Linked DNA regions of Schizosaccharomyces pombe. The protein of the gene in region 1 binds, or shares a complex with, the protein of each later gene. Each region holds a gene or a part of one and is shown in the gene's direction. Other genes may lie near its edges.

Region 1 (5,188 bases):
TGTAAATTTGACGAATTTAGGAACAAATTCTTTAGCAATTTAGAGAACTAGTATATGCATTTATTCTTTGAATTTTTGAATAATATGAAGTTATCTGTTCAACTCATACACCGGGACTTCTCCTTTGTGAGTTAGACATCAGTATTTGGCTCATTATTTGCAAAACAAGTTGATATCAGTTTGTAATCGGATATGTTTAGACAAAACTGAGAAAGAGTTCTTTTTTAATAATTCATAACTTGCAAATTGATTAATGACAGAGTATTTGAATTCTTTGTTATATCGAGGTTTACTACATTAATATAATACAACTTTTAGCAACTATTAGAGCCAATACAAAGAAAAGAAGTCAAAACTTAAGTAATACAATATGAGTATGATTTTCTTTGTTTTACTTCCCTATTGTGTCAACTATAATTTTAAGCAGGAAATTTTGAAAATATCCTAATAACTCGAAAACCAGGCTAAAGCAAGGAATATCCCTCTTTGCATAAATTTTATTTCTTCTCGTGTCTTTCCTCCAATAATTAATAATTATAACATCTCTAAATGTGTATGAGTTAGTTTGTTAGGACATTTTGACTCAATAATTCTTCTCGATAAATTTAATAAAGAAAGTTGAATTCACATACCTGAATTTAATATACAATCATGGGGAATTTACATACGTCAATAGCTGTAGCATCTATTTGCTTAACCAGCGCCTTTCTTGGTTGTGTTTTTGGTTTGGGATTTTTCGTATGGATTATATACGGATATAGTATTGGAGGTTTTTTTGCATTTCTGAGTCTTTTTCATCTATTAGAGTTTTACATTACTGCTCGTTTTCAAGGTAGTCAGTTATCATGGGATTCTTTCATATTGAATAATGGCAAAGCCTACTGGTTAGCGATGTTAGTCGGCCTTTTAGAATGCTTATTAAGTGGCGGAAAAAGTTTTGCTAAGGTAATAAATTGCTTAAGATTTCCGAGCTTCTTAATCAACTTTATATTTTCGGTATATCAGACATCTGCTCTGGGATTTCTTTGTTTGGGACAATATCTACGATCCTCTGCAATGGTACAAGCCGGTCAATCTTTTTCTCACATTGTAGCTAGTAAAAGAAATAAAGATCATTTGCTTGTCACTGATGGGATTTATGCTTACGTTAGACACCCATCATACGTTGGGTTTTTTATCTGGGCTTTGGGCACTCAAATGTTGTTAGGAAATTTTGTCTCAACATTACTATTTTCTCTAGTTCTTTGGAAATTTTTCTCACAGCGAATTACTACCGAAGAAGCTTACTTAGTTAGTTTTTTTGGTGATTCTTACGAACAATATCGAAAGAAGGTCCCATCTGGAATTCCCTTAATTCCATAGGTTCACTATTATTGTTATTTGAATAGTTGATAAAAGCATACTTAAATAATTTGTATCATCATCAAAGCAGCTTTTAAAGGTCTGACTATACAAATCTCATAACAAATTATTTTTATAGCCTTTTTCTCCTTCAAGGCTAATAGATATCAATTGTCCAAATAACAGCGCTTTGTCTTGCAGAATTTTAAAGATGTTTTCGTAGCTCCGCTAAACATCGAAGTGCCATTAATATGATCAGCTAATCTGAAATTTTCTCTTAAAAAATAATAGTCTGTTTACTTTTGAACCACAATAATTCTGAAAAGATTTACTGCTTAATCATTACTATTCATAGCTATAGTACTCTTAACAAACATTTCTTCTTCTTAGTTTTCGTTTATGGTTTTAACTATATTATAATTATCGCTTCAGTCAACTTTATGTAAATAAAGAAAAATAGCGAAAAACAACTGCAATATTGTGCAATTTATTTGCTGTAGTTCGCAAGCTCTCATTAATATGTGCTACATGCGCTCACTTGCTATATTTCAATTTCGCCGCAAGCATACAACTCTGCTTCACAATCAATTCCTTTGTATTAAAGGTCCTTTTGAAAAGTTTGTTGGCCGATATATATATAAATATATATCTATCCTTATATATCTATATAGTTTCTTTTCCAGTGGAGTGCATACAAGAGGAATACAGTTTTACCGCGTGAGTGCGGTGATGGAATTGTTGCAGCAGTGGACTCAGCAAGCCAAAGCAGCTCTTACTCAAGCCAGGCAACTGTGTGGTGATGCACATAAGTTTAATGAAGATGCAAAAACTGATTTGAGAAATTCCATAAAGCAGCATCAACAGCTAAAAGAGTTGGCGAAGCTCACAGCATCTCAATGTACTCGTTTAGACTCTTCAACAGCTCTTATTAAGCAGTTATTAGATCTAGTTCAAAATTATCCAACATTTAATCAATTAAACGTCCTTCATGATCGATTGGAATCGTCACTTAAACGTCTTCGTGACTGTACATTAGATCCAGCCTTAGGAAGCGAATATACCAATCTTTATGCATTTGTAGATGATACTGCATTAGAAGATTTGAAAACCAGGCTCCGAGGCGTAACTGATGGTGTTTGGAATGCTTTCGAAAAGCTAGCGGGTTTACTGGAAGAAGATTTGTGTGCCAATTATCATAAACGTTTAGAAGCTGTTTCATTAGACTTCTTACCTCCCGCTTATAACGATACTGCCGAAGAACTTGCGGATTTGCTTTTGCAAGTTGCTCAACATTACGATCAATGCTCCGAAGCTCTCAATATTTATGACACCCTTTCTGATGCGGAGAAGAAAGATCTCCAAGAAGTGCTTCAATCAGACTCTAATCATGTTCCTTCGGTATTGACAGAACTTAGGAGTGGATTAGATCAAACAATTCATTATTTCAACGCAGTTCAAAGTTATAAGTCAAAGGTAGATTCGGCAACATCGATTTTGGAAGCCTTGGCTGAGGAGTTAAACAAAAACCAGTTGACTAATCAAAGGCATGAAGCCGCGCATGAGTTAATGAGGGCGCAAACCGGCCTGGAGATTCCGCAATTAGCTCAAGAACTCGTGCAGCTTGAAAGACATTACACACATTTTGCTAAAGCGTATACCGCTCTCCTTCAGGAAATTCACAGACGACAAACCTATGAAAATTGTGTAAGATCCATTGTGGACGAATTTGTGGGACGCCTGGAGAAGGAACAACAGGCGGAGGCGAAATGTCGTATCGATTTTTTCAATCAATATGGTGATTATTTACCCCAGACTCTATGGGGAGCTGTAACAGATCCTCCTTTACATTTTGAAATTATAGAGCACCAATATACAGAATTGCCAAACGTAAAGGTAATTCCTGATAAAAACGATAAGAAATCGAAGCAACGTGAAAAATCTTCTACTACAGCCTCTAAGCGATGACCCTGTTAGCCATATTTTACGATTTTTAAAGTCTATAAACGTATAATGATTTTAGTTATGCTACTAGTTTATGAGTATTGTATAGACTTTTCCAATAAAGATAATTATATAAAATAACCGTAATTTTTTCCCCTGATTACTTTTTTCTTCCAGATTGTTTTAGTTTGCGCTTCTTCTCATACTTCGGAATCTTGGATTTTCTTTTCTCAGCCTTATCTTCTTTGGTTTTTTTTTTCCGTGCCCTCTTCTCCTCCGGTGTCTCCTTTGCACGTCCGTTTCCTTTACCTTGTTTTGCAGATGATTTTGAATCCGAAGTCCGTTCTTCTTCATTTTCCATACTACTTATAGAATTTGCATCATCATCGCTCTCCGAAGTCTCATTTGGGAGGATTTGATCGTTTTGATTTTTTGTAGTGTCATTTAAATCCAATTTTTGAAAGTCTGTATTTAATAAGTGCTTATATACAAGGCTATTAACACCTCCGGCGTTTACGATTTCAGTATCTCGATCAATGTCGTATACCTCATCTAAAGTCCGAGGAACATAAGTTTTTAAGAATTCCTCTTCGTATTCTTCTGTAGTAGGTTCTTCCTCATAAATTGCATTTAACCGGGTTTTCATGGCTTCCTTTTCACAACTTCCTTCTTCAGTAATGAATTTAAATAATTGAGGTAAAGATAAGCAACCAGCATTCAAACGCCTAAAGAATGTAGAAATGTTTAAAATATCCATTCTTAAAAAATCGATGCTCTGCGGGTGGTCATGTTCAACCGATTGTGATACATCAATAAAATAAACTTTACCTTTATGATAAAGTAAATTATATTCTGACAAGTCAGCATGCACGAGATGACAAACATGAAACAAAATACGCATATTCCGTGCTACAAGCTGATATAATTTAGTAGCCTCACCAGGCGTCATATCTATATCCTTTAACTTGGGGTATGCCCATCCTTTCTTGTCCCCCAGAAACGACATAAGCAAAACGTGCTGCTTCAATAAGATTGGCTCTGGGCAAGGAATACCAGCAGCAGCCACACGCTTCAAGTTTCTTATTTCTTTTTCAGCCCATAAGCGTACCATTTTTCGGGGATTGCGCTTGTTATACCCATGACGAAAACGAAATTCTCCAGAAACATAGCGGTCACGATCCTTAAATACTAAGATTGAAGTCTTATAAATTTTTATAGCAAAATGTTTACCATCCTCGTTTGTTGCATGATACACATTTGCTTCCTTTCCCGTGCTTATACAACCATTAATTTCTGATATAGTTCCATTATTTATTAATTTTAATAAAATCATTCGAGTACGGGGATCCAGCACTTGTTCAGATGTAGCGCGGTCACTTTTATCCTTGATAGATGACTTGTCTTTATTTGTCAGTACTATTAAACATGAAAATGTAAAAGTGTGAAGGATCAAAAGACCTCGAGTTCTAAAACCTATGAGCAGTTAAACTATATTACACTTACCCTCTGCCTCAAACCTGTCATTTAATTTTATATTATTCACATAACGACTAAGCGTAGAAACGTGATCATTAACTGAATTGATCTTAGAAGAATTATTCCCAAAATTTTCCTGTCTAGCAGAATAATCTAGTAAAAATGTTATTAATGATCATGAAAAATGGTAACAAAAATTCATGCAAAGTGCTTTTGGCTATTCAGTATATGAACTTACTTGAAGAAGCTTGATTCCAGTCTATATCGTCTTCCCTAAAGTAATCATTGTCAGAGCCATCACTAAAGTCGCTATATTCTGATTCTTCTTCATTTGTCTGTGCATCGTTTTTTAACTCCTCAACCATCTTAAACTTTAAATAAATCAATAAAAGAATAATTTATTTAAAAATTTGACAAAGAACTGGATACA
Region 2 (5,439 bases), on another chromosome or scaffold:
TAGATTTCCTTTAATAAAATAAAAAGAAAAATTTTACGTATTGCCAGGCCTATCATTAAATCATAATCACCTTAACAACAGCATCCACTGAGAATACTGTTTACAAAAAACCAACGTGAGCAAAAAAAAGATGGCAGATGTGACTATGAAACGAATAAAACTAAAACGGACTATAAATTTCGGTAAAAATGATATTACAAAATATATGTATATATAGTTTTGCTATTCAATCAGTCATATATTTAAAGGTAATTGACTATTACAGTTCGCATATTTAGGAAGATCAAAATATTCATTTATTGAGAAATGTATAACAACGAGTATCTGAGCGGATATCGTGGCACAATTTTAAGTAGAATAGGTTGCTTCGAAACGAACAGTATATTATTTTTGCTTGCTTAAAATTAATTAAACAGTGTACGACTCGGAGCATAAGCATTTTAATTCCATTTATTAATTTTCCAAATTTCCTAGAAAATAATAGATTAAAAAAAAATTCATTAATTTATTTATTGCTACAAAATCAAAATTTTGATTAACTTATTATTTTTACTTTATTTTTTTTTATTTTTTGTTTCAAACTTCATTGCAGTATTATTGGCAACAAGCACTTATATTCAGTTTCAAAACTTTTTTTATTTTATATTCTCGAATTAATTTATTTATTTTATTATCACGCAAATACAAAATTAAACTATTCATGGTGAGAAGGTGAATTTTTTATAACGTTGCTTGTTTTCAGTAGCGTTTTCGCTAATGTTGACTTTAAAGTCTGTTTTAGAAATTTGGATTCCACAACCAATCTCGTATATATCAATAAAGAGAAAAGCAACATATTATGATTGGAAATTTTCTTTTAATTTTCTGCAAGAGAGTTCTTACCTTCCATTATGGTCTTCAAGTCCTCAGGGCATGTTTGAATACTAGTCATTGCCCAATTCCCTGTTTTGTAGTATTATATACATGCGTTTGAGCCAAAACTCACACTGCATAAAAAAAATGATATTCTTTTCTTCAACCATAAATATTATTATTTAACACAACAAATGTCTACGGCCATACCTAGGCGAAAACACCAGTTCCCGTCCGATCACTGCAGTTAAGCGTCTGAGGGCCTCGTTAGTACTATGGTTGGAGACAACATGGGAATCCGGGGTGCTGTAGGCTCCTTCTTTTCTTTTTTTTTTGTCTTTTAAATCCAGTTTACTTTTTTTTTTTATATTATTTCTATATGGCATGAAACTGGTACAGTGGTACAAGTTGTACATCTGCCGCCGGTTTTTTATCCAAATTTACCCTCTATTTACACTTGCATTTTCATCTGCCTCGATCACTCTATCCATGACAATCGCCTTTTCCAACTAATTTGCCTTTTCGCGGGTATCTACGCTTCGTCTGGAGTATTATCTACTTCCGTTCTTATCCTCTAATTCCACACACACTTGCTTTCCGTACTCAAATCGGTAACTGACATGGCAAAAATTAACACATTTATTTCGTCTTAACCCACTTTCGGCATTTTTCAGCTGCACAAAAAGGGAACAATTTCAAAGAATTTAGACACTACCAGCAGGTATATGTGTGTAAAATATTATAATTCATTGAGTTAATACAATTTCCTCTATAAACTCGCATTCTATTCATAGTGCTTACTCCCATAAAACTTGTTATCCCGAAACCATATCTCCTGTTACCTTTTACAGCCGCACCACGATCGCAATTTATTTTAAGGTATTAAAGCCCAGTGCGGAAAGTGCCTTTTACGCAGCTATATTATCAATGGCGACCCGCTATCCTTGCCAACTCCCATGCTATCAAAGTGAGTATAAAGGCAGCTAAAACCCTTACACCTGTCTTATCGTGAACCAGAAGCTGTATGAACTTACAGACGAGTACAAATCAAACAATTGGTCCCTATGTCATTCGATCGGAAATTGGACGTGGATCTTTCGCAATTGTGTATAAAGGAAAGCACACGGTAAGTAAAAGAAGCAACTGCTTGTCTGTTTCAATGGAATTTGGTGGCTAATCGTGTTGCAGGAAACGAATCGAGTGATCTCTATTAAAAGCGTATTGACAAAGAAGCTTACTAAGAAACTTTTGGAGAATTTAGAAAGTGAAATTTCAATCCTTAAAGAGATCCGTCATGTGCATGTTGTGGAACTGATAGACTGTATTAAGGCTGGGCGGTTCATTCACCTGGTCATGGAGTATTGCTCCCTAGGAGATTTGAGTTATTTTATTCGAAAGCGAGAAAAGTTTAACAGTATTCCCTCCTTAGCCTGGATCAACATCGATCATCCGCCAGTTTACAAGGCTGGATTGAATGAGACGTTGGTTCGGCATTTTACCCAACAACTTGCTTCTGCACTCCAATTTTTACGATCGCGTTCTTTAATTCATCGAGATGTCAAACCCCAAAATCTTCTTTTACAACCACCACCCACCGCTGCCTATCTGGAAGAGCATCCCCAGTTTGTGGGAAGTCCCAAGCTACCAATGCTTAAATTAGCAGACTTTGGTTTTGCACGTTACCTTCAAACGTCTAGTATGGCGGAAACTCTATGTGGCTCTCCGTTGTATATGGCGCCCGAAATACTTCGTTACGAGAAATATGATGCTAAAGCCGATTTGTGGTCAGTAGGTGCTGTGTTATACGAAATGGCTGTTGGAAAGCCTCCCTTCAAGGCCCCAAATCATGTCGAACTTCTTAGGAGGATTCAAAAAGCTAAAGATGTCATCAAGTTTCCTGAAGAAGCTTTCATTCACCCGGACATTAAAACCCTTATCTGTGCTTTGCTGAAGCAAAATCCGGCTGATCGTATCGACTACGACGGTTTCTTTTCCAGTATTGTTGTCACTACTCCATTAGATGACGCATCTACTTTGACCGGTAGCGATATTCAAGATGCGGTTAAGGAAATAAACATTCCATCTTCTAGTCCTGCCTACATAACCGATTTTTTCCCAAAAAGTAATCCTGGCGCTCCTGCTCCTCCAGGCGGTTTGTTGCGTCAAGCTTTCCAAGCTCAGGGGTCTAGTATTCAGCCCTCTGAAATTACCGGTCGAAGGGTGCCTCATCGCTATGCACAAGATGGAAACACTTTACCATACACCCCCGTGTTTCCTCCTGAAAGTGCTCCTGCTGCTAGCATTTTCCCTCCTCGATTAACCTCTAAGCAACCTATACCCATGGCATCTCCTGCTAAGTTGACAAGTGATACTTCGAACAAAAGTAGCGCCTATGTCGTAGTGGACCATCATCCCATAATCTCTTCTACCCAACTTTCCAATGAAAGCCTAACCCACGAGCAATCAATCAATGGTAACTCGCCTTCACCAAACGAAGGTGTTTTTCAAGGTAGTTTCTCTCCTGAAAGCGCTCCTGTAAATAATCATGCGTTTCCCCATACTAGCCGGATGCAAATCCCTTACATGAAACCCAATGCTTTCCCTTCTAATCCTACCTACATTGCTTCAACCCCAGTCACTCAACTACGTCGTGCGTTTGAGCAAGCTACAGCACATGTACCTCAATCTGGAGGTGGTGCGCGAAATAAAAGCGCTCTAGAACGAGCACTAAATGTTGCAAACGCTAGGCTTAATGAAGTTGTAGTGGATGGTATGACAGATAATGGAAACACATCCCTTCCTACAAAAGAAAGCAATTTGGATAACAATGTCAACATTATCCAACCTTCCTTACCTGACACCGGTAAAAGATTGCTTGATGTTTTAGAAAGTATAGCGATGAAATCAAACTCTGTCTACCATCTGGCTGAAGTGAAGCTTGCTCAAATTATTCCTTCTTTGTCTGATGAAATGAAGCCTGGAGATACACTCTTGGATAGACCTTTGACTCCTTTTTCATTGGTTATGTTAGCCAAGGAATCGTATGTACTTTATGAGAGAGACATTGAGCTGTTACAAGTGGCGTTTGACGGTGTTGCTGCTTTTTGGGCCAACTCTGAAGAACGTGCATCTCCTGATTGCCAACAAGCCATTGAATGGTTTCGTCAAAGGTATTCAGAAAGTCTTGAGAAATCCCAATTTTTACGTGAAATTATTATTTCTCAAAGTGCCGCACATTCTTTGCCAACTACCAAACCTGTGTCAGCTTCTCAATTAATTTATCATAGAGCATTGGACCTATCCAGAAATGCAGCCACTAGTGAACTGTCAGGAAATGATGCACAGGCTTGTTTACAAAATTACCGGCTTGCAGCACATTTGTTGGAGTCACTTCTTGAGAGTAATTTTTCGACTCCAGACGGTGCTAACGATTCCAATAATTCAGTAACCATAAGAAATTTGATTGCTTTGATAACGAAAAGGCAAGAACTTTTACAATCGAAACAAATCCAGGCTAATGTAGCCAACAAAGTAACAGAAAGTGTTGCGAAAATAACACTTGCCCCCAATCTTGCTTGAACACCGACGATTTCGCCCTTTTATTGAACAAATTCGCATATTGTATGAGCTGAGCTCTGAGTCTAAATTTTGTTATGAATTCGTTGTTATGACCATATTATTTATATAACTTTTTAATATAGACGTTTTTAATTTTGCTTTTTTTATACATAGGGTTGATAGTCCCGTATATTTAACTCTTATTTATTGAGGTTTATCTCTATTCAAATTTCGTGCATATTATTTTTTTTCTCTTAAATTTTTCAAACAAGTAAAACAGCTATTTAACGTATCAAGGCAAGAATCTAGTACTTTTTTGATTTCCAAAACAAAGATTTGTTTTATACGGCCTAGAGCTGATGACTGCATGAGAGAAACAATTAAACGAGTGATAATGTTTTTGTTCAAACGACCCATAATTTACAAATGTGTGAAAGGAAATTATTGTAACAATACCTCAAGAAATGGCCTTGAAGTCCAAAAGTCATCGTCTATCAGACTTACGTGAAGGATAGATAAAACCATTTTCTTCTTTTGTTTTACGGAGAACTTTTTGTCTTGTTGATGCCATTCTTGATCAATAGGCTAAATTAAATAAGTAAGCAAAAATTAATTTAAACAAAGTTTGTCGAGCATACCTCACGAATCCAAATCGAGCCCTTTTTGTATATCTCTGGTTCAAAATTATAGTTGATGCCGAATTTTGAGAACAAAATTTCATGTTTTTCTGCGCTGACGGTACCCTGTAAAGTAATTCACCCAAAAGGTGAAAGTGGTTAGTTTTTATTGAAAGGAAGATAAATCGCTAGGGTTTACATAAAAAAAAATGAGCTACTTACCTTTAGGTACTCCTCGGCTTGAGTGTTTGTGAAACCTCCTTTGAGTATTAACATCCAGAAGGTAGTATTGTAAAGGTTATTAATATGACAGTCTACTTGTCGCCAATGCAAATAATCTCTTAATACTTTCATATTAGGATAAAGTACAGCTCGTCCATCAAATGAAGGGAGTGAAAGTAGTGGAATGTCA

What was found.
Region 2: atg17 (region 1) and atg1 share a complex: the UniProt entries of both Schizosaccharomyces pombe proteins name them as parts of the atg1 kinase complex.

Annotation. Positions count from the first base shown.
Region 1 is NC_003424.3:1,225,534-1,230,721, reverse strand, and holds atg17 (autophagy-associated protein kinase activator Atg17), read left to right. Parts: upstream 1-1,900; 5' UTR 1,901-2,070; coding exon 2,071-3,306; 3' UTR 3,307-3,442; downstream 3,443-5,188. Other genes in the region: protein-S isoprenylcysteine O-methyltransferase Mam4, read left to right, coding at 652-1,362; rio1 (RIO family protein kinase), read right to left, coding at 3,443-4,683, 4,786-4,911, 4,997-5,123. UniProt on the Schizosaccharomyces pombe protein: Autophagy-specific protein that functions in response to autophagy-inducing signals as a scaffold to recruit other ATG proteins to organize preautophagosomal structure (PAS) formation.
Region 2 is NC_003421.2:849,042-854,480, reverse strand, and holds atg1 (autophagy serine/threonine protein kinase Atg1), read left to right. Parts: upstream 1-1,798; 5' UTR 1,799-1,876; coding exon 1,877-1,978; intron 1,979-2,040; coding exon 2,041-4,431; 3' UTR 4,432-4,648; downstream 4,649-5,439. Other genes in the region: thg1 (tRNA guanylyltransferase), read right to left, coding at 4,852-4,995, 5,049-5,153, 5,250-5,439. UniProt on the Schizosaccharomyces pombe protein: Serine/threonine protein kinase involved in the cytoplasm to vacuole transport (Cvt) and found to be essential in autophagy, where it is required for the formation of autophagosomes.